Linked DNA regions of Pelodiscus sinensis. The protein of the gene in region 1 interacts with the protein of each later gene in a biochemical or structural test. Links are inferred from orthologs where the notes say so. Each region holds a gene or a part of one and is shown in the gene's direction. Other genes may lie near its edges.

Region 1 (15,938 bases):
GGTGCCCACCCAGGCCCTGGTCTCCCTTGTGAAAAGGACAGACAGGACTCTGCCTGTCGTCAACCTGAAGGCGAGTAACCAGAGTCCGATCACCGCAGCGTGGGTAGGGGAGGCCCTCGCTGGCGACAGCCACTGGGCATCCTCCCGGGAGCTTCGCCTGCGCCTGCGCCTTGCATTGGCGCTTCGAAACCTCCAGGAAAATGGTTAAAACTGTTTCTCAGAGACTCCCAGAAGCAAAAACCTACTGGGCCATAGGGTTGCCAGGTGTCTGGTTTTCACCCGGACTGTCTGTTATTCGGGTCCCCCGTCCGGTAAAAAAAAACAGAAAATACCGGACATGTGCCGTGTCTGGTATTTCCTGTTTCCCTCGGATGGAAGCCCCACGGGGACAATTTTCCCCTGCCACATCTGGCGGGAGTGGGGAGGTGAGGAACGCGGGGCCATTTAAAGGTGCAGCGCCCTTTTTTTTTTTTTTTTTTATTGTTCAACAGAATTTTTTCCCAGTGTTTTTTATTGGGGGAGGCAGGGTGTTTGCTATTTTTTGTTAAACCATCTGGCAGTTCTTCTGTGCCATCTGGCCCATCCCCCATGGCCTGTTCTCCCAGGCACTGGCCAGTTCTGGTGCTCCTGGTGATGGATGGGGTGTCCACCAGCTCCTTGAGGGAGAATTCTCCACAGCCAGATCCATCTCACTGAGCCTGGCCCCTCAGGCTGGATGGACCCCAGGCCTATCAGACCAGCCCATGTAGTATAGACCAGTGCTTGGGAGTCCCCATGAATCCACCTGGCCTGGTTCCGAACTGGAAACGCTGGCCAGAGCTGGTCAGGCCCTGGCCTGGGAGCCCAGGTTGCTGCTGACTGACGGGTGGGGGAATCTCTGGGGTCCCTCGTGCTCACTCGGACTGATTCCAATGGCAGGGCCAGCTGCTGGCGAAGACCTGGAACTCCGTGTTCGAAGGCACCACCCGCTTCAACGCGCGGGGCTTTCCCATCTACACCTTCAACGGCCGCGACGTGCTGACGGATCCCATCTGGTGAGCCGGAAAGGGGAGAGCAGCGCTGCCCGCATGCGGATTCTCCGCCTGCCCTGAGTACAATGGGGCAGTCGCTGTGGGTAGGGGATGGTAGAGGGCCCCTCATTGCCTAGTGACCTCCCGGTTCAGGCTAGGCCCTGGAGAAAGCCCAGGAGCAAAGGATTTTAAACCAGCCCCTGGAAAGTGGCACTTCCACAGAGGGGCCCAGCTTGCACCTGGGGCTGGCTGTGCCAAGTTCCCCTTGGCTTCCCCCAAAGGGTGGGCCCCCAGCACCTCTGAAAATCAGGCCCCATTTGGCCTTCTTCTGCCTTTCCCTGGTAGGATTGCCAGGTGTCTGGTATTGACCCGGACAGTCCAGTATTTTTGCCTCCTGTCCGGTAAAAAAAATTCAAAAAATACCGAACTCCTAAAATGTCCGGCATTTCCTGATTTTTTTTCCCTGCAATACTAAGCACCTGGCAACCCTACACACACTCAGCAACTGGGCCCAGCCCCCCGCCACTCCCTCCCGCTTACCTGGTTCCACAGGGGAGCTGTCTTCTGGCTCCGAGAAGGAAAACAAGATGGCCACTGGCCACCTGTTAAAGCCAAAAAAGCCTCAAAGGCATTTCTTAAAGGGGCCATGCTGGGTTTTTTTTTTTTTTTTTTTTTTTGCTTAATAACTCTCAGGGTCCTTTTGGGGAGATCTCCCCCTTTTTTTTCTCAACAGAATTTTTTCCCTGGTGTTTTTTTGGGGGGAGGGGCACGTTGGGTATTTTTGGTTAAAGCATCTGGCAACCCTACTCCCTGGTCCCAACCTGGCGCTGTCTCTTCAGGGCTCGCAAGGCGATCTGGCACGGCTCCAGCCAGCGTGGGCACCCGGCGCCAAAGGAGAACTGCCAAGGGTGGCGGAACAGCCTCGCCGAGGGTTTTGCCTCGCCCCTGACCGAGGGGAAGCTCCTGGCTGGGCAACACCGTAATTGCTCCACCCCCTTGGTCGTCCTGTGCATGGAGATCAGCTTCCCTTACCTGCACATGTGGTGATGGGAGCTGCTGGGGGGCAGCCAGGGGCTGCCGTGGGCTGGTGAGCCGCCATAGCTGGATCCTGCCAGGATGAATGACAGTGAGCAGATGGTCTCCTGCCAGCCCTGGGGCTGCTTTTGGCTTTGGGGCTATTTCACCGTTATCCAGCCCAGTTGGACTCTGCCTTGTACCCATAGAGGGATCTGTCCGTCACCAGGTGGGAGGTCCATATGTGCAGATTAGAGACTGGCGGTGGGTCGGTAACCTCCCCTCCTTAACTCAGAGCCATGCCGCTGCGCCGTCTCCCCAGGCACTGGACCTAGTTAGCTAGTGCCAACCACAGGGCCTCCCTGCGAGAGGGGGGCCATTCCCCCAGAGCAAGGCCCCGTTGGGGTCCCAGGCAGGGGCTGCAGCGAGCACTGAGGTGCGGGGCAGAGCTGGGCTATGGGGCCAGTGCTCTCTGGCTGAGCTTCCCTGAAGCCAGGGGCGAGGAACCTTTTTTGGGCCGGGGACCACTGACCCACAGAAACATCGGCTGGGGGTTGCACACAAGGAGAAAGACATTGGAGGGCCCAGGCTAGTAAAATCCTGCGTGCCCCAGCCTGCAGGGGGATGGCGTTGGGGCTGGAGAACCAGCGTGGGCTCCCCAATGCTGGGGGGGAATCCCCAGTCTTGGGGGGCTGGATGCAGGCAAGCCGGGGGCTGCATCTAGCCCCTGGTCCTTAGGTTCTCCACCCTTCCCTAAGGATCTGTGCAGGGACTCTCCTGAGGAAGCTAAAAGCTCTTCTCCTATCACCAAGTAGAGGGGGGAGATGCCTGATCCATTATCCCGGAGCGCTACCTCTGTGTTCACACACCCCCCCTTCGGCCTCTGTCAGCTCCCAGCTGCTCCCCTGCCAGCGGGTGGGCCTGTCTTCCGAATGGGCATCCCCACCCAACTCAGGGACTGCCCCTAGCTCTGGCTGTCCCCAGCCGCTGCTCCTGAAACGCTCAGCAGAGAGCTGGGGCGGAGGGGCCGGCGTGATGGGGGTCGTGCAGGGGTGATTATATTTTAACGCCTCGGCCTGCACTAGGCCTTTCTGCCGGCCAGCATCATGGCAACGGGCGTTGCTAGCAGGCTGGGCTCAGCTCGCTCTGGAGACGAGCCGCCGGTGAGCATCCTGCGAGCTTGGAAAGCAGCCTGGTGCTTCAGCTGAAAATAAACCTGTTTCAAGTGTGGGATTTGGGCTGAGCTCTGAGCGCGGAGTGTTTGGATGCGAATGGCACCGGGCGCTCCCAGGCAGCGAACGGAGGAGCAAAGGGCTGCTGGCTGCCCCAAAGGGCTCGCATGTGGGGGCAGATCTCTGTGTGCTCCGCACCCACCCCCAGAGCCTGGGGTCTATGCTGCCGCTGGGAGCCAGCCTGGGGAGAAAAAACTTGCTAGAGCTTGCAGGTGAAAAACAGCACTGTGGGCGTCCAGCGCGGCCTGGCGAGGGGGTCGGGCAGAGGGGAGCGCCCCCGCGGCCACCCGTGCCAGAACCACCTTGTTGCTGTTTTTAGCTCAGTGCCCCGTGCAGGCCTGTCCGTGTACGCTGGGAGAACCCGTCTCCGCCGCAGGGCACGCAGGGAGGGGTTTTCAGAAGCGCTGGGCCCGCAGCTGACTCCCACTGCACCACCGGTACCTGCATGTCCAGGCCTGCTCGGCACCTGGCCAGCTGCAGCCTGGGGGCTCCGGAGATGCTGAGCTCTTGCCAGCCTGGCCCGGGAGGACAGCACTCGGGTGGCGCCAACAATCAGCCAGGAGGTCGCGCGAACAGGAGCTTCGGGAGCCTGCCCCGGCTCTTGCTTTGCAGTGATTTCCTCACGGTGGCAGGCTCAGGTTGGTTTTTCAAGCCACGCTTTCTGTGTTGCTAGAGCCTGACCATCCGCAGCTTTCCCTCTTCCTTTCCCTCGGCTGGGCGGTGGGTCTCTGGGTGGGTCTCCAGCTGGGCTTTCGTGTTCTAACCCCAGCCGAAACAGGGCTTGAGTTGGGAAGACCAGGGGCTCAATAGAAAATGGTCCAGATGGTGCTTGGGGCTGCCGTGAGGGCAGGGGACTGGACTTGATGACCTCATGAGGTCCCTTCCAGTTCTAGGATTCTACCCTACAGTGGCTGCCTGGTCGGCCAAGGGATGCAGGAGCATGAAGTGTGACCCTTCCGGGTCTTGAAGGAGTCTCTGCATGTGCAGGATGAGGTGCTGTGGTAGGGGACAGTGGGTAGAGTGTACACAGCAGCAAACCTCCAAGGCTGCATGAAGCAAAGGGTCAGCACCGCAGAGCTCCTTGCGATCAGAAAACAGCCTGCCCTTGCGGTGGCATTGCCTTAGCAGCCCTCCAGGCACAGCAGTGGCCAGTACAGTCCTCTGCTGATCCCAGCCAGCAGACACTCCAGGAAGGCGTGAAGCCCAGCAGACAGGCTGTCGACAGAAGCCAAAATGACTGTGGAAGTCACAGACTCAGGAAGGGCAAAGGGACACAGCACTGGGAGAGGGAGTGACATAATGCTTTGCCACAACCTCGTCTTCTCACTGACGTTTATATAACACCCTCTAAGCAATCAAACGTGCATCTGCAATTAATTTGTCTGATCTTTTCTCCTCTGTGTGCGCGCATAGTCGCTTGGCACTGCAGGGGTGTGTGGGAGCACTGGGCATCTCAGGCTGGTGTGGGCTTGGATGGTTGTTTCTGAGCGCAGCCTTTATTTTTAAAAGAAAAAAATAGTACTGGCCAGAAAGCAGCGAGACCTCCTCACAAGGGGAATCAAATTGCAAAGCCCCCGTGATCCCAGTTTATGCATGGCAGCCTCTTGTTTTCAGAAACAACAAGAAGTCCCATGGTACCTTAGGGTATGTCTACACTACAAAGTTAGTTCGAACTAACGGACGTTAGTTCGAACTAACTTTAATAGGTGCTACACTAGCGCTCCGCTAGTTCGAATTTGAATCGAACTAGCGGAGCGCTTAGTTCGAACTAGGTAAACCTCATTTTACGAGGACTAACGCCTAGTTCGAACTAGCTAGTTCGAACTAAGGGCTGTGTAGCCCTTTAGTTCGAACTAGTGGGAGGCTAGCCCTCCCCAGGTTTCCCTGGTGGCCACTCTGGCCAACACCAGGGAAACTCTATGCCCCCCTCCCGGCCCCGGACCCCTTAAAGGGGCACGGGCTGGCTACGGTGCCCGTGCCAGGTGCAAGCCTGCCAGCACCCAGCTAGCAGACCCTGCACCTGGCACGGCACAGAGCCACCCACCCGATGCCCCCCAGCCCACCCCCTCTTGCCGGGACCAGGCTGGCGGCTCCCGGGAGCTTGCCCTGGACCGCAAGAGGCGGGCACCTTCCTGGGCTAGTGCGGACATCGTGGACCTCGTCCACGATCTCCGCACTAGGCACAGGAAAGTGGCCGTCTAGGGCAGGAGAGCTGCCAGCCTGGCCACCCAGGACCAGGTGTGCATGAAAATCAAGGGGGTCCACTGAGACCCCCGACCCTGAGCCCTGAGCTTACAATGGCCGTACTGGGTCAGACCAAAGGTCCATCTAGCCCAGTAGCCTGTCTGCCAACAGCGGCCAACCCTAGGGACCCTGGAGGGGATGGACCAAAGACAATGACCAAGCCATTTGTCTCGTGCCATCCCTCTCCAGCCTTCCACAAACTTTGGGCAGGGACACCACTCCTACCCTCTGGCTAATAGGACTCCATGGACCCAACCTCCATGACTTGATCTCACTTCCCTTTCAACTCTGTTCTAGTTGTAGCCTTCACAGCCTCCTGCAGCAAGGAGTTCCACAAGTTAACTATTTGCTTTCTGAAGAACAACAACTTTCTCTTACTAGTTTCAAGCCTGCTACCCATTCCTTTCCTTTGGTGTCCTCTAGTCCTTCTTTATGGGAACTCAGGAAGAACTTTTCTGAATGCACCCTCTCCACCCAACTCCTGCTTTTAGAGACCTCTATCCTGTCCCCCCTCCATCTCCTCTTTTCTAAGCTGAACAGTCCCAGTCTCTGTAGCCTTTCTTCATCTGGGACCTGTTCCCAACCCCTGATCATGTTAGTTGCCCTCCCCTCTCCCAGCCTTTCTCTTCCCCTCTCCCACCTCCTTTTCCCAGTCTCCCCCAGTTTTTTTTCAATAAAGACAGAGTCAATGTTGGAAGAAACGTTATCTTTATTTTGTACATCAATAAGAAGGGGGGCTAAGGAAGGGTAAGTGGAAGGAGGTGAGGGAGGAATGGGGTACGAGCCCCCGATGGGGAGGACTGGGCTGGCTCTGTGGGCTCCTCACGGTGGAAGCTCTCCTGCAGCCCCCCAATTACTCCCTCTCCGCAGATGGCAGCCTGCGGCAAGTGCAGCTGGGCTGATGGCCGAGTGGTGTGATGTGCCCAGTGTGGGCACTCAGGGCACTCCAAGCCAGAACTTCTTTGCAAGCGGGGCACCCCTTAGAACTGTGTGTCCGGGGTGGGGGTCGGGACCCTTTAAGCGCAGCCCTCGGCTAGCCTGAGACAGCATCTCCATGCTCTAAGTCCTCCTTTTATGCCCTGCCGGCACTGCTTCCGGCCATCCTTAAGCCCTGTTCAGAGTCCACTCAATGTGGACTTGCTAGTTCGAACTAGCAAAACGCTAGTTCGAACTAGTTTTTAGTTCTAGATGCGTTAGTTCGAACTAGCTTAGTTCGAATTAACTAATTCGAACTAAGTTAGTTCGAACTAGCGCTGTAGTGTAGACATACCCCTAGAGACTAACCAAAATAGATAGAAGCACATGAGCTTTTCGTGGGTAAAACCCACTTCCTCAGATGAATTGGAGTGAAAATAACAGAAATCAAGAGATCAATGTAACAGCAGACGTCTCTGTCAATTGTAAGGCCCAAGTTAATGAGGCTAATTAACACTGGTCATACATAGCTTTTGATGTGGAAATGCAGATGCTAATGGCAGGGGAAATTGGCTTAGGCCCAGGGTAACAAAGCCATTAACTGGTTGAAGCATTACAAAGCCAATTTCTCCTGCCATTAATATCTGCATTTCCACATCAAAATCTATGTATGGGACACATCCAGCCCACTTAATTAGCCTCATTAACATGGGTCCTACAATTGACAAGTACTACTTCTACTATTATATATATATCTTGGTTTTTGTTATTTCCACTCTAATTCATCTGCTGAAGTGGGTTTTGCCCACGAAAGCTCATGATTCTATATATTTTGGTTAGTCTCTAAGGGTATGTCTACACTAGCTAGTTAATTCGAGTTAGGTAGGATAATGAGGGCGACCGGAGTTGCAAATGAAGCCCGGGATTTAAATATCCCGGGCTTCATTTGCATGTTCCCAGGTGCTGCCATTTTTAAATGCCCTGTAGTTTGAACTCCCTGCCCGCAGCTACACGCGGCATGGGCTAGGTAGTTCGAATTAAAGCTCCTAATTCAAACTATTGTTACTCCTCGTGGAATGAGGAGTAACAGTAGTTCAAATCAGGAGCTTTAATTCGAACTACCTAGCCTGTGCCGTGTGTAGCCGCAGGCAGGGAGTTCGAACTACGGGGCATTTAAAAATGGTGGCGCCCGGGAACATGCAAATGAAGCCTGGGATATTTAAATCCCAGGCTTCATTTGCAACTCCGGTCGCCCTCATTACCCTACCTAGCTCGAATTAACGAGCTAGTGTAGACATACCCTAAAGGTATGTCTACACTTGCACCCTAGTTCGAACAAGGGATGAAAATGCAGGCATTCGAAATAATCAGTGAAGCGGGGATTTAAATATCCCGCACTTCGTTAGCAAGATCTCACCATGCACTAGTTCGAATCACAGCTGATTCGGACCAGGACATGCACACCGGGACGCGTTCGTTCTAACCAAACCCCTTGGTTTGAACTAACGTTACTCCTCATTTATTGTCACTGACTTAAGAACGATCAATCAGTTTCTGCTGGCAGTTCTGAGAGAGATTTTGAAGGGGGTGAAGCATTCACCTTCAAGAGTGTTGTCCAGTTTTGGGGAGTGGCTGTTTTTGGATGTCTGGCTCCAGCCATCCAAGCCCTCATCTGGAAAGAGCTGAGGACCCCGCAGCTTCCTCATCCCTGCTGACACTGTGGGTGCTTAGCACCTCTGTGAGTCAAGCCTTGAGCGTCTCCTAATGGGCACTCAGCACTTGAGAACAGCTGGTTTTAGCCAGTAACTGGATCCTGAACAGCTGCCAGGGTTTCCCTTCCAGGGTACAGGGCACTGCCCGTATCCCTGGGGAAGATGGCGCAATCCACTCTCATGAGGTCACTGCAGTTGTGTCTATGACCTCGTGGGGCTCCGGGCTGCACAGAAAGACCGCCTCCTTGTTTACATCCCAAACCATCAGCCGTGCGGGAGGAAAGTCATTTCCCTTGACTGCCAACATCCCAAAGGGCAGTGGATGGAGACAGCAAGATGAGCGGGCAGGGCGATGGCATGAGGAAAACTCCAGCAGCTTCCGGGAGAAGTTCCCAGGCAAGGGCAGATGTGCAATGCCATGGATGTCTGAGATTCGGTGTCAGTGGCCAAGGCTAAGGGCTTCCCTGCCAGTGCAAAGCCTGGTTAGCGATTGCTGATCCTCAGGGTAGAAGCTGCTATAGAAACACCAGGTCAGATGGGTCACTGCCCCACAGTCCCTTTGTGCTGGCCACGTTGCCACAAAGGAGTGAGAGAATAGGTGTATATGAGGTCTCTGTGCCTACCACTGGAGCAAGAACATCTGCAGAAGACCCCCTCCACTTGCACTCCTTCCCAGTGCAGAGGGCAGGCTGGGGGTGCACTGGAGGAGGGAAAAGGCAGGGCAGGTGTAGCAGAAGGAGTTGGAGCAGCCCTGCATTCTACTGATTCTTGGCTGCCATGATCCAAGAGGGACTAAATTGTCCTAGTCCAGTGTTTCTCAACCAGTGGTACCAGTACCCTTAGGGGTACTAAAGAGAAGTCTGGGGGGTACGTCCACACAACTGAAATTTGGAGAAAACTGAATTTTTGTTTTAAGTTTTCTTATTTTTGTACTTTTTACACCCAAAAATGTCATCGCCCCCCCGGCTACCATTAAGTTGTTTAAACAAATGTGTTGCAATGGTAGAAAAAAATTGTCTCTGAAAACTATAGGTACTGGGGGTACTTATAATTTTTTTAAAGGGTACTTTATAAAAAAAGGTTGAGAAACACAGTCCTAGACTATGCTAGGGACTAAATTGACGCTCCAATATCACATGAACAAGGAATATGCAATCTCACCTCCCGAATGGCCCTAGTGCTGGTGCAGAAATGAATTCCCAGGGGTAACAATATGGCAAATGAAATTTAATGTTGATAAATGTAAAGTAATGCACATTAGAAAAAATAATCCCAACTAGACATACAATATAACGGGGACTAATTTGTCTACAACTACTCAAGAGAGAGATCTTGGAATCACTGTGGATAATTCTCCAAAATAATCCACTCTGGCTGTGTCTAGACTGCATCCCTTTTCCGTAAAAGAGATGCAAATTAGACACATCGCAATTGCAAATGAAGTGGGGATTGAAATCCCCCCCGCTTCATTTGTATAAACATGGTTGCCACTTTTTTTTCCGGCTCGGAGCTTTGCCAGAAAAAAGCGCCAGTCTAGACGGGTATCTTTCGGAAAATAAAGCCTTTTCCGAAAGATCCCTTATTCCTTATTTTAAGAGGAATAAGTGATCTTTTGGAAAAGGCTTTATTTTCCGCAAGATCCCCGTCTAGAATGGCGCTTTTTTCTGGCAAAGCTCCGAGCCGGAAAAAAAGCGGCAGCCATGTTTATGCAAATGAAGCAGGGGGGATTTAAATCCCCGCTTCATTTGCAATTGTGATGTGTCTAATTTGCATCCCTTTAACGGAAAAGGGATGCAGTCTAGACACAGCCTCTGTGTGCAGCAGCAGTCAAAAAAGCAAGCAGAACATTAGGAATCCTTAAAAAAGGGATAGAGAATTAGACAGAGAATATCTTACTGCCTCTATATAAAACCATCAGAGCCAGCTCTATGGAGCGTGGGGCCCGATTCCTGGGACGGGGCCGCACATGCGCGGGGCCCCGGGCGGCATGGCGCATGCGTCGCACACCAGAGGCACGACGCATGCGCTGTGCGTCCCAGATGTCACGATGCATGCGCAGTGCCCCGGGAGTACAATGCATGCATGGCCCCCCCCCGGGCACATGGCGCATGTGCCATGCGCCCGGGATGTCACAACGCATGTGCCGTGCGTCCAGGGGCCCCACGCAAGCGGTGTGCTCCTGGTGCACTGCGCATCCGTCGTTTCCCTGGGCACGGGACCCCCTCAGGCACAGGGCCCCACACTGGGGAATCGGCTGAATTGGCCTAAGGCTGGCCCTGAAAACCATGGTACGCCCCCGTCTTGAATACTGCATACAAATGTGATCGACTCATCCCAAAAAAGAAATATTGGCATTGGAAAAGGTTCAGAAACGGGCAACAGAAATGATTAGGGGTTTGGAATGGGTTCCACATGAACAGGATTCACCAAGTGACGCGAGCCCTGCTCGCCAGCCACGCGGTTTGGCACACTGCGCATGCGCAGATCGTGCTGCGCATCCACTGAGCACACTCTGCGGCTGTGCCGACTTGTAATCAACTCGCCATGAGCGAGTAGATTACACGAATTGTCGAGCCCTGCATATGAAGAGAGATTAAAAAGACTGGGACTTTTCAGCTTAGAAAGGAGGAGACTAAGGGGAGTATATGATAGTGGTCTATAAAATCATGACTGGTGTGGAAAAAGTGAATAAGGAAAAATTTACTTGTTCCCATAAGAACTATGGGTCACCAAATGAAATTAATAGGTAGCAGGTTTAAAACTAACAAAAGGAAGATTTTCTTCACAGAGTGCACAGTCAGCTTGTGGAACTCCTTGCCAGAGAAGGTTATGAAGACCAGAACTTTAACAGGGTTTAAGAAAGAACTAGATAAATTCATGGAGGTTAGGTCCATCAATGGCTATTAGCCAGGATGGTAGGAATGGTGTCCCTAGGCTCTGTCTGTCTGGAAATGAGTGACAGGGGAAGGATCACATGAGGATTACCTATCAGAGGGGGAGCCGTGTTAGTCTGAATCTGCAAAAGCGGCGAGGAGTCCTGTGGCACCTTATAGACTAACTGAAGTGTAGGAGCATAAGACACTGACGAAGTGGGTCTTTGCCCACGAAAGCTTATGCTCCTACACTTCAATTAGTCTGTAAGGTGCCACAGGACTCCTCGCCGCTTTATGAGGATTACCTGTTGTGTTCCCTCCCTCTGGGGCATCTGGCGCTGGCCACTGTCAGCTGATACTGGATACTGGGCTAGGTGGACCTTTGGTCTGAAAATGTATGTCCTTATGTTCTTTTGACAGAAACCTGAGAAAACATCCTAATACTTCAGTCTGTACTTGGGGAAAACTCCCCTTGGCCGGTGCCAAGGGCTACATCTACACTGGCATGATTTTCCGGAAATGCTTATAACGGAAAAGTTTTCCATTAAAAGCATTTTCGGAAAAAGAGCATCTAGATTGGCAGGATGCTTTTCCGGAAAAGCATTTTTTGCGGAAAAGCGTCCGTGCCAATCTAGACGCACTTTTCCGCAAAAAAGCCCCAATCATCATTTTCGCGATCGGGGCTTTTTTGCAGAAAAGAAATCTCTGCTGTCTACACTGGCCCTTTTCCGGAACAGTTTTCCGGAAAAGGACTTTTGCCCGAACGGGAGCAGCATAGTTTTTCCGGAAAAGCACTGATGATTTTACATGAGATCGTCAGTGCTTTTCCGGAAATTCAAGGGGCCAGTGTAGACAGCTGGCAAGTTATTCCGGAAAAGCGGCTGATGTTCCGGAATAAGTGGCCAGTGTAGACACAGCCCAGTGGCTCCATGTGGCTCCCTCCCACTGCCACATGGCCACGTGGGCTGAGTTACCCCCAACACACATGGGGAGCCACTTGGTGGAGGTCAAAGGTTGAACCTGATGACCTTTGCCCTCGTGTCTCTCCTGCAGACCTAGCTACCTCCGGCTTCATTGTTATTGGTTCAACCGCCTGCCTCTCACGGGCTGTCCCAGCTGATTGGCGGAGTTTGAAAACCTCCCGCGCCTCTCTTTCCCGGCGTGTGAATGGCTGGTTTGAGCGGGCCGGCGTCCTGCGATTGGCGGGGGCGGTCCGCTCCGCCCCCAGGCCTTGCTTGCCCGCAGGCCGCGCGGCGATTGGTGGGAAGGCGCCGCGCTCGGCGTGCTGCGATTGGCCGAGGGCTCTGGGCGGGCTGGACGGAGGTTTGAAGGGCTCCCCCCGCGCTCAGGCGTTAACGGAAACGGACCTTTCGTCCGGGCGGTTGGGATCCACCAAGCAGAGACCCTCCCCCACGATACCGGACCGAACCGGGTTCCTCTGCCCCCCCCAATACCGGCCACTCCCCGATCGGGACCAGACCGCGATCCCCCCCCCGATACCGGGACCAGACCGCGATCCCCCCCCCGATACCGGGACCGAACCGGATCCTCCGCCCCCCGATACCGGGACCGAACCGGATCCTCCGCCCCCCACACTCGGGACCGAGCCGGACACCCGGGCCCAGCGCCATGGAGCTGGTGGATTCCCTCTCGCCGCTCAGGGTGGGTCTCGGGAGCCCCAATGCGGCCTGGCCCGGCCCGGTTCTAGCCCCCCGGGGAGCGGGCCCGGTACCGGGGGCCCGTTTCCCGGGATCGGGGCCCGCGGGGTCACGCGGCGTTTGTCTCTCCCCAGCCCGTGCACGAGAACCCCAAGGTCGGCAAAGCCAAGGAGGCGGCGAAGAAGCGGCTGTCGGTGGAGAGGATCTACCAGAAGAAAACCCAGCTGGAGCATATTCTGCTCCGGCCCGACACCTACATCGGCTCCGTGGAGTTTGTCACGCAGGTAAAAACGGGCTTGGTGCCGCAGGTGGTTCTGCCGTTCTCCTGCTTGCCTCCCCAGGGCTTTGTCAGTGTCCATCTTGGGATTTACTGGGTGCTCCAGGCAAGGAGAACCCAACCCCCCCCCCCCCCCCACACACACACACACCCTGCCCAGCGCATGGGGTCGCAGCACACAACTGGGGCAGCCAGACACTTCCCACACCGACATCTGCGGTGCATCCCCTGCTCTCTGCCCATCGCACTCTATAACCCATAAGGCAGGGGTTCTCAAACTTGTGATACCGCGACCCCCCCCCCCCCTCTCGGTTGCTCGCGGACCCCCCCCCCCCCATTGATGCAACCAGCCTTTCAGTTGCTCACGACCCCCCGCCCCCCCCCGGGGTCGGGACCCACAGTTTGAGAAACCCTGCCATAAGGCATGGACATGGTTTAGTGAGCATGACTAGAAATCTGCAGATCGTGCTTCCTTAAAACCATCTTGCTAAATTTGAATGGGATGTTTTCCCTTGTGTTTTAGTGTGAGTTGAACCTCTCTGATCTGGTACTCTGGTCCAGCAACATCCGTGGTCGGGCATGATTTTAGTGAGCCAGATGTCTGCTTATGGGTACGGCCAAGTTTCCCAAAGTCCCATAAAGTTTGTCCATAGTCACCAGTCCTGGCTCTCAGGGGTCTGTGCTGTTATTTAGTTCTAATATATCTCTAAATGTCTTCTAAGAGCCTCGCAAGCCGTAGAAGCATTAGTAATGCTGCTAGACAATGGTTTACATTCTCTGGTTTCGCATCAGTTAGGTCCTGAGGGTGCTGGAGTAGAGGTTCAACCTGTACTGATATCATCTGAGCAACGTATGTAGCTTAGGGTATGTCTACACTACCCCCCTAGTTCGAACTACGGGGTGTAATGTAGTCATACGGAGTTCCAAATGAAGCCCGGGATTTGAATTTCTCAGGCTTCATTTGCATAAAGCCGGCCGGCGCCATTTTTAAATGCCGGCTAGTTCGGATTAGGCGTACAGATAGTTCGGATTAGGAAGTCTAATCCGAACTAGCCGGCATTTAAAAATGGCGCCGGCCGGCTTTATGCAAATGAAGCCCGGGAAATTCAAATCCCGGGCTTCATTTGCAACTCCGTATGACTACATTACCCCCCCTAGTTCGAAGTAGGGCTGTAGTGTAGACATACCCTTACTTGCATAGTCACCTTGCTGTAATTTAGAAAGAAATTACAGTACTAAAGAAAGCCTGATCAGTGGCACTTAATTCCTGGACATAAGTGGAAAATCGCTAATGTTTTAAAGACAGTTTGGAGCGCAATGTGGTTTGGGTATATAAACAGAAGATCAGGAAATCATGGTAAACCTAAAGAGAGTGTTTCTTTTTTTTCAGCAAATGTGGGTTTATGATGAAGATGAGGGCCTCAGCTGCAGAGACGTAACTTTTGTGCCTGGGTTATATAAAATCTTTGATGAAATTCTAGGTAAGTCTGCAGAGATGACAGTTCGGTTGCTAGCAATTTATTCCACTGATAACAAATTGTGGATGTTATATGTGTTAAATCGGGATGTTAGCGATTATATGATAAACCTGGGCTTATTGGTTAATCCTAATGACTACAAGCCCTCCCCCCCCCCATTGCTGCTTCTGTATCAGAGTCAGCAAGGGAGGGGAACATCAGAGTTGGTGCCCACGAGCACAGGATCCCACAGAGCCCCCTCTTCCTCTCCCCCGCTGCCTCTGAGAGGCAGCAGCATGGAGGATATGGGGGGCAAGCTGGACCCAGTACACCTGGGAAGCCAGCTTTCAAGCCAGCTCCGGCTCACATGAAGCTGCCTGCTCCCCCATGCTGCTGCCTCTTAAAAGCCAGCTCCTCTTGAGTACTGGTGCTATGGAGCTGCCCTCCTTCTGCCCCACACTACTGCCTCTGTATCAGGGATGCCAAGCACTCTGTCCGTGGGGAGCCCAAGCTCCCTGTGGACAGGGGCAGCAGGTGGGAGCCAGACTGCATAGGGAGCAGGTTTTAAACCCGGCTCCACTTGCAGACCAGCTCCCGCCTGCCACCCCACGCTGCTACCTCTGATACAGTGGACACAGTGTGAGATAGCAAGAGGGCTCCACAGGAGTGCACTGGCTACCAGCCCTGCCACTGGGGACCATTGAATAATCATGTAACCAATAAGTTTTGGTGGGGTTACATGGTTATTCAGTTACACAATATCTAACCTCCCTAATGTTAAATAAGAATCTGTAATGAAAATGTTCGTAACTTTTGCATCATTTGATCAGCTCTGTAGTTGCTCAAGTAATAGTTTGATAAATATAATTATCCCTGCCCTTTTCACTGTTGGATAAAAATGAGTAATGTATGATTGTAATTTAAAATAATGTTTCTGAATTCTGAGGACTTGAATGATAATCCTTTGAAATAATGCTACTTTGGATTCTGTTAGTTAAGACTCAGCTGAAAACTTCCTCTTCAACATGGCAAATCTGTCAAGTCCAAGCTGATTCTCCATGGCCTCTCTTTCTGAATTTGTGTATTTGTTCTTGTGAATACTTTGCACTTACTTTTGTTGTAAGCAGCTCAGATTTAAGTGTCTCATCTGCAAATGTAATTTGGTAAATTTACAGTCCTTTCTCCATTTCAGTCAATGCTGCAGACAACAAGCAGAGGGATAAAAACATGTCCTGCATTAAGATTACAATTGATCCGTAAGTCTTATTACATTTTTGTTGAACAGTTTTTATTCTCCTCTGATACCTGTATAGAGAAAGTAGCTCAGCGTTCTGGGACTCAAAGATTTTCTTTTTCTGGTGCTCTTTTATTAGAGTGGCTGTCAATGACCGGTCTAACGGACCCCGATCCTTGAGAGCTCCCTGACTCAGTTTAGGAAAGCAACAAGCCAGTCCCTGGCATAAAAAAGATTGAGAAACACTGTTGTAGCTCAACCAATTTAGACAAAATGTAACTTTGCAGCTCATCAAATATTAACCAAATGTGA
Region 2 (15,911 bases), on another chromosome or scaffold:
AGGCTGTGGAGTTACAGCCATGACAATCTGGTATGAGAGGAAAAACCGACCTGTTGTTCTGTCAAGCCCCTGTGCAATAGGGAAGTCTCCTTGTCCCATTTTCACAGATGGAGAAACTGAGGCAAAGAGCATAAGTAACTTGCCCAAGGTCACACAGTAAGTCAGTGCCAGGACAGCATCCAGGCGACCTGACTCTCGCTCTCTCCTTGTTTAGAGGCTAAATATATTCCCTCTTTTTTAATTTATTTTCAATCAGGATAAACAGCATTATGGGATAAGAACTATAATCCTATGTAGGATGTCACTGGTTAACTGGGTGATGGTTACTGGTTAACCGGCAGCCTGGATGGGCTGGAGCAGCCCCCTGGTCTAATGTGGGCAGGGGTCCGCTCCAGCCTAGCTGGGCCTCCTGTACCATGGGCAGGGCACCCTCCAGCCTGGTCCATCTGGAGCAGCTCCCTACCTGTCTGCGGCACAGTGGGCTCGGACTGTGCAGCCCCCACAGTGCAGAGTAGAGGGTGTGACCTGAGCAGTCCCTGCTTGCGGCAGGCCTGGCTGGGTTGGAAAAGCCCCCCACCCACAGCGTAGTGCAGCCAGCCCAGCCCAAGCAGCCTCTGCTTGTGGCCCAGGCTGGAGCAGCCTATAGCACAGTGGGCCCTGCTGGGCTGGAGCAGTCTCCTGCCTGCAGGAACCCATTTAAGTCTTTAACCAGTTAACCGTAACATTGAATCGGTTAATTGATGAAATGGGATCTTTACATCCCTACTCCCATGTTTCTCAAACAGCAATAAACTACCATAATAAAAGTTAGCGCACAACACAATCACTTTGTTTCATAACTTCCATGCCAGTCAGTAGTCTCCTGCTGAATTCCCCACACCTACGCCCCCAGCTTGCTTAAGAATGATCACAGACAGCGGTTGGCAGCACATATGGGTGAGAGAGGGCCAAATTTGCTCCTAGTGTAACTCCAGTGGTGTCGGTGGCATTTCGCTAGGGATTGCTTTGGCCTGCTGAGTCTGTCTGGGGGTGTGCTTTCTCCCTGTGACATGAGGAGCTATCAGCTGTTGCAGTTGCTACGGTAACGGTTTGCATTTTTAGCACAAACCCTGGATTTTGCCAGAATGTAAGTTGAGCCCCATCGACCTGATTAACACACTGGCCTGTCAGGGAAATTGTCTAATTATCTTCTGTGAATATTTGTAGCTGTCGTCAAAGTGCAAAAGTCTCTTGAAAATCTCTCTCCTCCCCAGCAGCATTGGTTACGTACACTCCCTTTGCACGGTTGGGAGTTTATTCTCCTCTCTGTGTCTACCCTGCAGCTGGGAGGTGCAATTCCCAGTAGATGTAGGCCTGGTCTGTGCTAAAAGTTAGGTTGACCCAGCTATGTTGCTCAGGGGCTTGAAAAATCTACACCCTGAGGCTGTGTCTACACTGGGCCACTTATTCCGGAAAATCAGCCGCTTTTCCAGAATAAGCTGCGAGCTGTCTACACTGGCCCTTGAATTTCCGGAAAAGCAATGATGCTGTACTGTACAAAATCAGCCGCTATTCCAGAAAAACTATTCTGCTCCCGCTCGGGCATAAGTCCTTATTCCGGAACACTGTTCCGGAAAAGGGCCAGTGTAGACAGCCCAGTAGTCTTTTCCGGAAAAAAGCCCTGATGGCGAAAATGGCGATAGGGGCTCTTTTCCGGAAAAGAGCATCTACATTGGCCACAGACGCTTTTCCGGGAAAAGGGCTTTTCCGGAAAAGCAGCCTGCCAGTGTAGATGCTCCTTTTCCGGAAAAACTGAAAACGGAATAGTATTCCGTTTTAAGCATTTCCGGAAATTCATGCCAGTGTAGACACAGCCTGAGGCTATGTCTACACTGTAGCATTTTTGCAGAAGAGAAAATGCAAATGAAGTGCTCATTAACATTTCTTGCGCTTTATTTGCATAATCTCTTCCGATCTTTTTTATGGAAAGAAACGCAGTGTAGACAGGGCCATTTTGCGCAAAAAAAACCCCTTTGCTCAAGATCCCTTATCCCTCAAAAAGGAGATAATCAGGATCTTGTGCAAAAGTGTTTTTTGCCCCATCTACACTGGGGTTTTTTTCCGCAAAAACCTCTTCCACAAAATGGATCTGAAGAGACTATGCAAATGAGAGTGCGAGAAATGCTAATGAGCGCTTCATTTGCCTTTCCTCTTCCGCAAAAATGCTACAGTGTAGACGTAGCCTGAGTGGCATAGTTAGACTGTGTCTCTGGCGGGATAGGTCAGCTTAACAGGTGACAGAAGAATTCTGAGCTGCCACCTCTCAGGGTGGGGACTTGCGTATGTTGATGGGACAACCCCTCCCTAGTCCCAACAGGGTCTACACCGAAACACTCCCGTGGTGCTGCTTGAGGCATTTCAAGTGTAGACAAACCAGCAGCGAGGCCGTGGTGTGAGCAGTGGGGCAGTGCAGTTGGGTGGGTCAGTGACTAGTCAGATAATCAGCCTCTCCTACCTGTAGGTAGCACAACAGCTGTCTTGCTAGTGCAGTCCCAAGTTGCAGAGGCCGCTATGAAGTGGCGCCGCAGCCTGTACTGTTGGTGGGGATTTTGTCCACTCTCCCTGGTGACCCCACTGTGTTCCGGGGTTCCCACTTCAGGAGCCAGTGCTACCAACTTTCCTGGGGAAGAGCTCACTTTGGCATTCCCCACGGTTGTTTACTGAGGCCAGGTGTGCACTACAGACCCCTATCGGTAAAACCCACACTCGAGCAGCATAGTTATGCCAGTTTACGCCCTGCACTGTGCAGACAGAGCGGTGTCCATGGGATGATTCTCCCTCCAAGATAGCAACTGCCTCTCAGGGAGGTGGATGAATTACGCCGGCAGGAGACACTCACCGGAGGCTGTAGGATTTCGTCACTTACGCACTACAGCTGCATCGATGGAGCATTTTATGAGTAGTCTTGCCCTGCGTTCAGATGCTGATGCGTAAGAGTTGGAAAATGAACAGGATTAGAGAGGTGGGATATTTAGCATTTTGTCATCAGTTTCCCATCCCCAAAAGGCTCTATCTGATGTGTGAATGGGAGCTGAGCTGTCCTGAAAAATCGGTGGGATGTCAACAGGGAAAGCGAATGGTGACGAGCTAATGAATTGAGTTTCCATACTATAAGGCCATGGGCGCCCGGTGGCTTAGGCAAGGGAAGACTTTGCCTTCCCAAACGGCCAGCCTGGTCATGCCCACACTCCGCCCCCAGCGTGCCTGGGTAGGCATTCTAGGGGTGGAGAGTTGCTGCCCCCAGTGCCTGTCCTCCCTGTGCTCCTGGCCGGGGAGGCTGGAACCACCTGCATCCCTTCCCTCTCTTCCTTTCCCTAGTGCTGTGGGGAGTGCTCGGCGTGCTGCCCCACCTCCTCCCTGGGAGGGCGGGGTCTCAGCAGAGGGGGTAGGAGGCCTGCCTCCCCCGGTCCCAGCTGCACCAACCACCCATGTATAAGGCAATAGTTGAGGTGTGGGTGTGTTTTGAGCGAGTCCGCTTTCATCCCACATGCCTCCGGCTTTACAGAGCCGGGGCAATGCTCAGACAGCTTAGGGGGTAGGTTACCCTACACCGAAAGTTTGAAAAGGGGCTTCCCTTTGCCCATGTCTTTCAACCCTGTCGACAAAGGACAAAGGCTTTCTGCAGCTCCTGCTCACATTAGGGATATTAAAATGTGTTTAGTTTGGTAAAGGTGTACCTGCTGAAAATGTCAGCAGGCACACATTTGCTTGCAGAGAGCAGGAAGGGGGGAAGGTGTGGCTCCCAGGGAGCCTGCCCCACGCTGCTGCTAGAAGCAGCAAAGGGGAGGCAGAGGTGTCTCTGCAGGAGCCAGTATGTGTGGGGAGATGACTTGAAAGCTGGCTCCCTGCACATGGCTGCTCCCACCTGTCCCTCCGCAATACTGACACAGAGGAAGTGGAAGTGGGAGGAAAACAGCTGGGCGGGAGCCAGTATACTTTTAACCTGACTCCCCACATAAACTGGCTCAATTTCATAATAGTTTTGCTTTTCATATTTTAAGATGAAAACATATTGTCTCAGAACTCCAACCATCTGAAAAGATTTTTTTCCCCATTTTTCTTTTAACAAAAATCCACTCTAGTCTGACTTTAAGCGAAGAAAGTTTCAACTCCAGAGATGACAACTTTTTTGGAAAGTTGTGATCAAGGGAAAACAGAAGAGGTAATAACCAAAATCCAGATGTAGCTGTAATGCAGAATCAAGAATTTAGGCCCCGATCCTGAAAGTTGGCCCACCTGGATAGAGCCTTGGACTCCTGTACAGCCTGCTGCATGTTCTCTGTGTGTCCTCATCTGTAAAATGGGACTAAGGATACTACCCTCCTTTGTAAAACACGGGGGTGTGATGGGGAAGAATCCGAGAGACACCTGAAATCTACTGATGAAAAGTGCCACATACAAGCTGGGGATTATTTATTTATTGACATCTTGGGGCTCTGCACAAGCAGGAGTTAGGCACCTAGGTACATAAAAGACCCACTTGACACCTCTCTGCATGTAACATAGCCTTAAAAAGCCTAAACAGCGTTGCCTCATTGCTGGTGGGTTAAAGTCAGACTTAGGAGACCTGGGTTCTATATTTAATTCTACTGCTAGCTTATTGGGTGCTTTTTGTCAAATCGCATCCCTTCTCCATACATCGGTTTCTCTACCTGTGAAATGGGGCCACTGATATTGACCTCTTTTGCAAAGCACTTCAGAGGAGAGACTGGATAAGAGGGTTATTCTTGCCTTTCAATGACATCTAGGCTCCTACGTGCATCTGTGATGTCTGCAAACAGGCATGGGCGTCATGGAACATTCTGCCTTAGGAGTTTGGCCCCCATCTTTCATGGCCTTTGTGCCATTTGTGGCTGTGAAAATGTCTCCCATTGTCCCTAAGGTCTAAGATTTTTAAAAAGGGAGACATAGAATCGTAGAAGTGGAAGGGACCTTTTGAGGTTGTCCAGTCCAGTCCCCTGCACTCATGGCAGGATCAAGCACCATGGACAGGTAATTGTCTAACCTGCTCTTAAATATCTCCAATGATGGAGATTTCACAACTTCCCTGGGCAATTTATTCCAGTGTTTAACCACCCGGACAGAAAGATTGTCCTGATGTCTAACCTGAACCTCCCTTGCTGCAATTTAAGCCCATTGCTTCTTGTCCTGTCCTCAGAGATTAAGGAGAGTAATTTTTCACCCTCCTCCTTGTAACAACCTTTTAGAAACTTGAAAACTCTTAGTATGTCCGTTCTCAGTCTTTTCTTTTCCAGATTAAACAAACCCGATTATTTCAACCTTCCCTCAACGGCCATGTTTTCCAGACCTTTACATTTAGGCCTATAAATCCCCAATCCTTTAAAGATTTATGGGCATGCTTATGTGCATGGTTAACTTGTTTATGTGCAGGACTTGTCATAGTGCATAATGTTAACCATTCTCATTAAGACTTTGCAGAATAAGGGCCTGACTTCCAAAAGACATCAGTGGGAGCTGCTCCGTGTTCAGCACTTTTGTAAACAAGGTCATTCCGAGAGATGCCTAAATATGAACCTAGCAGTCTAAGTTTGGGCACGTAAATCTTGGCCAGGGATCAACAGTGTCTTTTTGTCTTCTTTGTGTGGTTGCCAACACTTGCAATTTTATTACAAGGTCTCATGATAGGCGGTGACTTTCTTAAAAGCCCCGACTTCTGGAAGCAAGCGATTCCATTAATATCTAAGGGTACGTCTACAGTAGAAACACTCCAGTAGTGGAGCTTCCATGCTGCAGCTGTGCTGCACAGTTATTGCCAAGCGAATCCACCTCTCCACAAAGTGGTAGCTTGTCTGATAGAAGAATTCTTCTGCCAACCTCTGTATCTACTACTCCAGGTCTTAGGTCAGCTTTAATTACATGGCACAGGAGAGTAAATTTTTCGCAGCCCTGAACAATATAGTTGGACCAACCCAGCTTTGTATTTTAGACCAGCTCTTTAAAAAAAAAGTTACTAATCCCCTGTGGCTGTGGAAAAAAAGCTTGAGTAGAAAGGTTAAAAGCCAAAAGGGAAATTAAAAGAACTCCAAATATATTATTTTTTAAAATCCCATGACTTTTAAGCCATTCTTGTGATATTTTGAACTCCTATGGCTGGCCCAACAAAGTTTGAATGAAAAACAGCTGGAACAAATATACAAGTTTGAAAAGTGCTCACTGTATATGCCCAGCAGAGATTCTGAAAGGGTGAACAAAGGAAACCAATTCCAGCTCATGTCCTTTTATGCTGCTCTGTGATGGGTAAGAGAAATCCGAAAGATGTATTTGTTTTATAAAAGGTTTGTTTCTGGTTTCACAGAGGCTTTTCTATTTTAATTTGCTGTGGTGGATATGTATGTGTGTATAGGGGGGATGGCGGTTTGTTTTCCGAAAGAACATTTCATATGCATTTGACCCCAACACATTCAAAGGAGATTCTTATTCTGGCCATATATAATCCAGGTTTGCGGTAGGCTTTGGCCTGATCTGCACACCACATAGGTGGATGCAGCTATAGAAGTGCGGAGTGTGACAAATCCACACTCCTGCACGCTGTAGCTACGTCGACCTCACGTCCAGTGCAGACACAACTAGATCATGGGAAAGATTCTGAAACTGAGGGCACAGCGGCATCCCCTGGCTCGGAGCAATTTCCACCAAACTGAGTTTATTTACAGTTTGATTCAATGGCACACAGCACCCCAGCTCTGCAACTTGTACCCCAACTAGCGTGTACATGCCTTGCTGGGGGGAGGGCAGGATTATCCCCGGAATCCAGGGGCTAACTTGCCAGAGCAACAGCCCCCCCCATACGCTCCCCTGCAGGCAATGCAGAACTAGGCACCCCATGAATTCAACGGCACGGGGGTGCAGGAGCCAGCATGGCCTTGTCTCCCACCCCACGAAGCCCGTGGCGGGTTGGCTGCGGTGAGCCCCTTCATAAGCAATGCAGGGGGCTAATTGCTCTCTGCCTCGCCTTCCCATTAATGGCCTTTGTTAGCCCGCCAGTGGGCTAATTAATTATTAATTAATTAATTAATTAATTAAAGCCCGTTCTCTGGCTGCCCCGCCCGCAGACGAGGGCCCTGTTGCTGGCCGGGGCCCAGCTCCCCGGGAGGAGCGGGGTTTGCAGCGCCCCGTTCTGCCCCGGGCCTGGCGCTGTCCCCCCTCCCCAGCCCCCCGGCTCTGTCACTTTAAGAGCCCGGAGGCGGCTAGAACGGGGTCATGGGCGGGGCGGGAGTGGGCGGCAGCGCGCGTGCGCGGGCGGGCGGCCGGCGAGGGGCGGGGGGCTGGAGCGCGATGGGATTGGTTCCCCGCTCTTCCCTAAGCCCGCCCCCTCGGGGGGGGGGGGAGGAGGGAGGGCGAGGAAGGAAAGGGTGCGTGTCACGTGACTCGGCGGCGGCTCCCGGCGCGCCGGTGGACGCTGGAAGCCAAGATGGCGGCGGAACTGGTGGAGGCGAAAGTGAGTGAGCGGCCTCCCCTCAGCGGGGGGCGCGCGGGGCGGGGCCCCGGGGGCGGCCGTGGCACGGCCGGGGAGCGCGGCTCCCAGCACCCGGGGCCGGGCGGGCCCCTGGGACCTTCCCTGCGGCAGGCGCCGCTGGCTCCCACCTCCCCCGCGGGCACCCGGGCCGGCCTGCTCGCCGCCCCCCCCGCCCGGGCCTCGCCCGCCAGCTCCCTGCGGGCCCGGGCCGAGCCTCCCCGGGCCCGGGCCGAGCCTCCCCAGCCCCGCCCCTGTCGGCCGGAGCCCTCGCCCGCTCCCCCGGCGGCGCCGTCCCGTTACCAGAGACCCCCCCCCCCCCGCCGCCAGCGTCGTCCCATTCCCCCCCCCGTGTCCCTACGGGACCCCCATCCCCTCGCGTCGGCTCCGTCCTGCCTCCCCGCCCCGCCATAACCATCCCCGGGGGCTCCCTGCCCTTCTGTAGCTGACCCCGGAGACCCCACCCCTCCCTGTACCCACCTCCCAGTGTCAGTGCCAGCCTGTCATCCCCCCTCTCCGAGACCTCCACCAGCAGCCTCAGCATTTTCCTGTCTGTGCCAACTCCACGGGCCTTCACTCAGCCTCTTTGCATCCCCAGGCTGATTCCTGTGCTTCCCTTGGGGCCTTTCCGGCTCCCCCACTGACCCCTGAAATTGCCCACCACTTAGAGCTTCCCCTGTTTTCATTCTGTGCAGCTGATGCTTCAGATTCCCCACCCACCGCTGTCTTGGCATCTTCTCATCCCAACACTGAACCCTAAGATCTCCCCCATTTTAGCAGGCTGTGATAAAATGATTAAAACAGGCATACTGCTCCCCACACACCTTGGCTTTCCTCCCGACACTCTTCTCCTCCCCCCCCTTCATCTCCTGCTACTATTGCCTCTTCCCAAGTAGTCATTGCCTCAGGTCCCTCCTGCAGTTCTCCCATCTACTCTCTCATTTTTCCTTTCCTCTGTGACTCCCTCATGACGCCCCCTTTCCTGTTCCAATCTCAGCTCTCTGGGCTTCAGAGTGAAGAGTTTGTAAGTGCAATTGGGGGTGTGAGTGTGAAGTGATGACATCCAGGTTTCCTCCACTGACATTTTAGGAAATGGTTTTGGAGTGAGGGGTGAGTGAACTGTCCAAATGTCTCCTGTGGGTCATATTGTTTGCAAAGTTTACCCCCCACCCCTATGAAAGCATAAATGGATTGTTTTATTATCTGAATTGAAGGTATTGAGAAGCTTCCAGAGAAGTGAATATGGAGGTACCTAATGAATGAGATCTGAAGCTTTAAGAGTTCTAGAGAAAATGTTGATAGTCTATAAATCTGCATACATTAGAGGATTCTGTGATATCTGATGTATTTGGAGGTTGCTTAGTGACATGACAATTTAAAAAAAATATTAAACTGCATTATACTTACAAAATATTTTGTGCATGACGAGCACCGTTGGAGAGAGGAAGACTTGCACAGATTCCAAGATTGAGTCCAGTTCTGCTATGTGATACTGCTCTCTGCATGAGTAGGGCTCTTCAGTTCCTGCCTGCCAGTGAGTGGAATCACAGGTGTACTGTCTGTGAAGCAGAACTGTAACCTCACAGTACAATAACAAGACTTCCAGGATAAAGTCCCATTCTTGCCTGTCTAAAGACTTCAAGTGACTTCAGTCATGGCTGAAGGTGCTCAGCTTCTGGCAGGATTAGGCATTAAGTAATGGAATAACAGGGCAGACCCAGTGAATGCTGTGAATCATAGAACTGGCTTATATAGGGCAGACATAAAATGTAGAAAACTGTACATCTAGACATAATGGTGGCTGATTCCCCTTCTTGTGTTAAGCCTTCTTTATTATTGTGGGCAGAAGCCCACCATTCCTCCGAAAGGAAGTATCTTAAAGATATCTGTTGTCTGGCTGTAGCGAGAATTCATTATCTTCCATGCTTCAACACACAATTTGCTGTCTTTTGGCTGCACAAGGCTTACATCTATATTCACTTTACAATAATCTCATGAGCTAACGAGAACTGCATATTCCTACCACTCTGAGTTAGAAGCCTGAGGTTCTAGACTAGAGATGTAAAATCCTGTTTAAAATGTTAAGCAGTTAAACATATGATAACCAGCTCCTCGCTTAGGGTCTGGCTGGACTGGTGCATCCCTCCCCCATGGTAGGCACCCTGGAAAGCATGGCTTTGTCAACACTGGTTAACTGGTAATCCCAATTCTAAACACATAGGCTATGTCTAGACAGGCCAGTTTTTCCGGAAAATCAGCCGCTTTTCTGGAAAAACTTGCCAGCTGTCTACACTGGATGCTTGAATTTCTGCAAAAGCACTGATGATCTCATGTAAGATTGTCAGTGTTCTTGCAGAAATACTATGCTGCTCCCGTTCGGGCAAAAGTCCTTTTGCGCAAAACTTTTGCGCAAAAGGGCCAGTGTAGACAGCTCAGATTTGTTTTGTGCAAAAGAGCCCCGATCGCGAAAATGTCGATTGGGGCTTTTTTGTGGAAAAGCGCGTCTAGATTGGCACGGACGCTTTTCTGCAAAAAGTGCTTTTGCAGAAAAGCGTCCATGCCAATCTAGATGCTGTGTTCCGAAAATACTTTTAACGGAAAACTTTTCTGTTAAAAGCATTTCCGGAAAATCATGCCAGTCTAGACACAGCCATACAGGTTAAACCCTTGGGACTTGGCCAGTGCCAAACCAGATAATTTGCAAGACCATGGTGGGGGTGGTCAGTATTGTGTAGCAGCATTTCCAACACTTTCACTGCTTACTGGGCTCTTAGAAGTCTTATGGGGTAAATTAGAGCTAAATAACAGCACAGAACACTGAGACAGGACTAGTGGCTTTAAAGAAACTTTATGGGATGACGGGAAACTTGGCCACACCCATACGTGGACATCTAGATAACTAAAATTATGTGGGACCACGGATGTTGCAGGGCCAGAGTGTGCCAGACTAGAGCGGTTCAACCTGTATTTCTTTGTGCTAAAATAGCCTGCTTTGCTTTTTATTCAAATCTGATAACGTCTCTAGACCCAAAATCTGGGTAAACATAAATTGCAAAAAAGCAGCAAGAATTATATGCTTAATACATCAAGAAGACAGGAAATTAGGCAGTGAGCACAGGGATAACTCTCTTGTCTGGTGCTTTAGTCCTCTTTGCTGTAGTCCTCAGAATGCCCCAATGGGGTATGGAAAAGTTCTGTTACCCTCATCTTTCAAATGGGTAGTGATGCACAGAGAGATTAACTTGCCTGGGGTCACACCAGGAGCATGAGGTGTAGTAAAGAACTGAATCTGGGTCTGCTGACTCCTAGATTACTTTCCTAACCACCAAACATCATTCATTGGCTTGCCAAAACTCTCTCCCTTCCCCTTTTTTCTTTTTTTCACTGAAGAGATTCCAGAACATACAATCACACTACTAAGTGTCTCACTGAACCCAGGTGTATTGTGATGCCTTCTAGGACTGCTTCAGTGAAACAGGAAGTCCAAGGGGATTTTACCGGAAAGGGGAAGAATAAAATGCAAGAGGTTAATTATTAAAATTTACGTTGACAGAGCTATGGCATTCTGGTAACACCCCCCTCCCCCGCACCATGCTTGTGCCCTTCTCATGCCTAGTGTAGACACAGCTGTGTCAAGGGAAGGATGCTTCCATCAGTAGGGAGGGGAGTGTTGCTGCAGTGACCAAAAATACCTTCTGTCACTGAATGCTGTCTACATTTCAGGGTTATGCTGGTGTAGGAGAAGCGCTATTGCTGCTACGGTGCCATAGTGTAGACATGGCCTGTGTTGAATTTCATGCCCCCCCAATATTGTTAATAAATATTTCTGGATTTAATTCAGTTGCTGTTTTTCCTTTAAAAGTTGGCTTGTCAATTTTTTTCATTGACAGTAAGAATGTTATCTTCAACCTCTTTTTGTAAATTAATAATCTGATTTCAATATTTATTTTCCATATAATCAGGAAATAAATATTGAAAAGACTTAGGGCCTGATAGGGACACCATTAACAGTCATGCTTACTAGTTCCAGTTAACTGTTAACCAGGGAGGGCTGAAGCAGCTCCTTGCCAGCAGGGGGCTGCTTCTGTCCCCAGTGGACCCCCACAGGGCTGGGTCAGGCTGAAGAAGGGGGAAGGGACTGCTCCCGACTGGCCTCAGCCCCCTTCCCTCCCTTCTGCATTAATCAGTTAACCAATTAATGGGATTTTATATCCCTAGTGTCTGATTTCATCACCTACAGCTGGGCATGTAGAATTTATGTTCTAGAAGATTTTTCCTATATTTTTGAAAACTGTGAACAAGATGCAAGGATAAATGCAAATGTTCAAACATATTTTCAGGGCTCGAAAAGCACTTTGTTCACTCTGGGTCTGTGTGAAATTTTTTTGGCAATGAGGAAGGCGTCAATAATCAATCTCTGCAGAACAAGAGCATTAATTTTAATTAATATTTTCTTGGTCTTATCTTTATGAAGACTGTCTTCCAAGTGTAGATCATTGCTGTGCTTCACTGCTCTCTGGCTCTCACCCCAGGCAGAAGTGTGAAGTTGACAAGTGGTCAATTTCAGTGTTGTTCAAAACCTTAGGGTCAGACTGAAAATTGGTAGTTTCTTTGGGCTCCCTCAGAACCCTAACAGAAGTAAGCATTGGTCCTGTTCACAAGAGAGCAGATTGAAGGAAGCGAGATGTGGGCAGAAGTAGTTAATAACCCCGATACACTTGCTCTTCCACTAACCAGATGCAAGTTGTGTCCCTGGGACTGCAGTTGTTTCCAATTGTTACCAAGAGATTGCTTTGTACTTATCACAAATTATTTGGTAATTTAGTGACTAGCTTGTCACAGCTTTCAGGTCTGTGTATACTGACCAATGTTCAGTTTCTCTCTTATATATTGCCATTGCACAAACAAGTGTCAAATGCATGACACATTAATCACTTGAACAGCATGCCATTGAAACAGAAGGCTTGGTGTCAGTCCTTGCAAGTAAATTTTAATATTTTGAGTTCTAGGGTATAGACTCTGGAGAGAATTGTCACTTGATCTCTTTATAACTTTAAAAATCTTTTACTTTAATGTTTTACCTTTATTTCCTAGAACATGGTGATGAGTTTCAGAGTCTCAGACCTTCAGATGTTACTGGGTTTTGTTGGCCGGAGTAAGAGTGGACTTAAACATGAGCTGGTCACTAGAGCATTGCAGCTGGTCCAGTTTGATTGTAGCCCTGAAGTTTTCAAGAAAATTAAAGAGCTCTATGAGACTCGCTATGCCAAGAAGAGCTCTGAATCAGGGCAGCCACAGCAGCACCGACCTCCAGAGGCGCTCTCTATACATTCTTCCTATGACCGAGGGAGCACTGTTGCTAGGACTTCTCTCTCCACTCCTAACATTGACTATCCAGCACTCTATGGGAAATACCTTAATGGACTGGGAAGGTTACCACCCAAAGTTGTAAAGCCTGAAGTTCGGCTGGTGAAACTTCCCTTCTATACCACCTTGGATGAACTGCTGAAGCCAACAGAGCTAGGTGAGTCTTTCGTATATGCAGATACAAGACTAATAGCCAGGACTCAGTTTGGAAAAGGACTGAAAAAATATGCAAGTTTTATGGCAGCATTTTTGTTGAACAGTAAGGACACATAACAGAGAAAATCAGTAGGTTCTCTTCTAGTTGGTCTCCCTTGGTTTGGAATAATATTTGTTGCTTTTTTTACCTTTCTTGAAGCAGGAGCTGCAATTCCTTTGATAAGTGACTTGAAAGCCTATCTTGTTTTGATGTAGTCTTTGTATCCTTCAGTGAAAGTGCTGCCTTAACATATTGCATCCTTATGTACTGACTGATGTGTCCCTGCACTAGTCAATGTAGGGGGGCAGCTGTTTTCTCCATCAGTGTTATAACTACGCTAAGCTGGAACAGTGCCTTTTCTATACCGATATCAGTTAGCCTAAGTCTGCCATGATAAAGTGTAGAACTAAGTCTACAATGGCACTTCACTGCACTGTACATCCCCTCCCCTCCCACTTCCATGAGCAAAGCAAGTTACAGCACTGTAGAGCACCGGTGTGAACCGGGCTCCCAGTGCTGTTAGCTAACTGCTCTTGTGGAGGTGGTTTACATAGAGTGCTGGAAGAGGTGCCTTGGCTACACTTCTAAAATTGTAAGTGTAATCAAAGCCTCAGTTTCCCACAAATAAAGGGATCTTCCTATTTTAAATCACACACCAATGCCTTGTCTTAATTATATAAACCTACCATAGTTATGCACCATGCTTTGTATTTTGAGGAGTCACTAGAGAAACTCTGGAACACGAAAAAAGCAATTTCTTCCACCTCGGAGTCATGATAATCGGTCTGGATTAGTGTTTGTGATTCTAGATAGTGACAGTATGACCATAATAGAATATAATGTGTATTTTGTGTGTGGTGTAGGCAAAATGGTCTTTTTGCCATGGTTGTGGCTTTCTTTGCTTTGTGACCCATTAAATGACACCCTTCTTCAGTGGCCCACAGAGTAAACTTGGTAGCCTCAGGCCTTGTTACATAATGGACTTTCTAAGCAAAATAAATACAAAACTTGATCTCCCATTGTTGGAAAGGCTTGAGCTTAATGTGCACAGAAATGAAAGCAGTGCTGATAAATGAAGCTAGTGACATCTTACCCAGATGGCAACTAGAGGAACTGCTGCAGTCTGAACATAGTCTGGAAGTTTGAAGGCATGTGGGAAGCAGCCTCTGCTGAATAGCCTTGCTAGGCAGAAGTGTGGATTTGTTTCTCTAATGTGGACATAAAAGGCACTTTTTTAACTGTTACGTGGCTCTGAGAAACCTGCCAGAACACAAATCAGATAATACTTAAACTGTCCTTGTTAATTCAAAAGAACATAAATATTAGTACCAGATGGCGGTTTCTTGTTTCTATGTTCCTGCACATTCATAATTTCTTAATCCCATCTTCCTGCTTTTTTCATCATACCCCTTCACTCCCTTCTGCCTTCACAAACTAGGCTGAGTATCCCTTGAGATTATTTATATCCTCTGTTTCAGTTGCCTTCCTTGTTAACTTATTCCATATGTTTATTACTCCTTGTGGAGTTTCCCTGTTTACTCTTATTTTCCATATTTCTTAGCTTCTGGACTACTTAACAGTATAAACTGTATTAACTATACTATCCATGCTTCAGATGTACATGATTTGTCTGCATTGGAAGGGAGTACAGTTGTTAAGGCTGATAATTTAAACAGAATTTTAGAAATTGGTTACTTCAGTCTTGAATTTTTTGTGTGCTAGTCCATTGGAAAGACAATTGAATATGTAATTGAGTATTCTGAAGTTGAGAAGTGAGGGTTTTTTTGTTTTTCAGGGACAGCTCCATCTCCTATTCATAGCTCCAAGAAAAATATATGTAGCCTGATTATTAGGGATATAATGAAGGTGGCTAAACAACCAGTAAGTGAAAGTTTATCAGTTAATGCTACTGACTACATGTACCCTCTGCCCCCACAGCCCTGCCAAAAATACATTTTTTGAGGGCTGGCAAACAGCACAGCTCGGTCCCAGCTTGTGCTGGTCCTGGAGCTACCCCCACTGCGGCTCTGCATAAAAAGTAATTTAGGTGCTGTGGGCAGCAATCCAGTTCAGACCCTGCTCGTGCTAGAACTGGGAGCTACCCCCGCTGCAGCACTTCAGGTAAAGTAATTTAGGAGCAGTTCCCAGGACCCTTCATGAGCTGGGCTGCCTTCCTGCTGGTTCCTCTGCTCTTAGTGCAGAGCCGCAGTGGAAATAGTTGCCAGACACTGCATAAGCCAGGACTGAGTGCTTGCTGTGCTAACCCTTATCGATTAATCATTTAGCTGACACAATTTTTGTCACTACACGACTAACAAACCACACGCTGCTTAACATCCTTACTGTTTATCTGAGGGTACTAAGTTTGACAATACGTAGAAGTGTTATGTCAGATCAGATCTTTAGTTAGGCTAAACTGGCATCCTACTCCCTATAAAAGCTCACTCCTCCTGGAAGTCCTCTTGTTCCCTGGACACATTTAACAAATTTTCTCTTGATGTAATTTGTGCTTAATCTGTGGGGCTTGGTGCAGAACAGATGCTTTTGTACTCTTATCACACTGAAGCACAGATTATTTACATTTTTACTTGTTTTACCAACCCTGTAAATCCAGCATTGATGGTGGCAAAAAATACAATTGTGGAGAATTATTGATAGGGGGTAAGTTCAGTGTATGATCCCTGACTATTTCAGCATGGCAGAATGTTGTGACATAATCTCTAATTTCTAGTTACCAAACTGAAAGACTAGGAGGAATCTCTGGTTCTGAACTGGCTTGCTCTCCTCACATTAATATTAGCAGGGGTGATAGACATGTTATCTAACTTTTCTACT

The links.
Region 2: of the proteins of TOP2A (region 1) and PIAS4, one has a biochemical effect on the other in vitro, tested with the Homo sapiens proteins (2 studies listed by BioGRID). The link is inferred for Pelodiscus sinensis from reciprocal best matches to the Homo sapiens genes TOP2A and PIAS4.

The regions. Positions count from the first base shown.
Region 1 is NC_134739.1:10,726,606-10,742,543, forward strand, and holds the start of TOP2A (DNA topoisomerase 2-alpha), read left to right. Parts: upstream 1-8,374; 5' UTR 8,375-8,463; coding exon 8,464-8,523; intron 8,524-12,353; exon of another isoform or gene 12,354-12,629; coding exon of another isoform or gene 12,630-12,662; intron 12,663-12,792; coding exon 12,793-12,942; intron 12,943-14,325; coding exon 14,326-14,416; intron 14,417-15,584; coding exon 15,585-15,648; intron 15,649-15,938. Other genes in the region: uncharacterized protein LOC102455445, read left to right, coding at 1-70, 919-1,034, 1,850-2,057. UniProt on the Homo sapiens protein: Key decatenating enzyme that alters DNA topology by binding to two double-stranded DNA molecules, generating a double-stranded break in one of the strands, passing the intact strand through the broken strand, and religating the broken strand.
Region 2 is NC_134729.1:22,022,942-22,038,852, forward strand, and holds the start of PIAS4 (E3 SUMO-protein ligase PIAS4), read left to right. Parts: upstream 1-7,365; 5' UTR 7,366-7,471; coding exon 7,472-7,498; intron 7,499-12,607; coding exon 12,608-13,037; intron 13,038-15,911.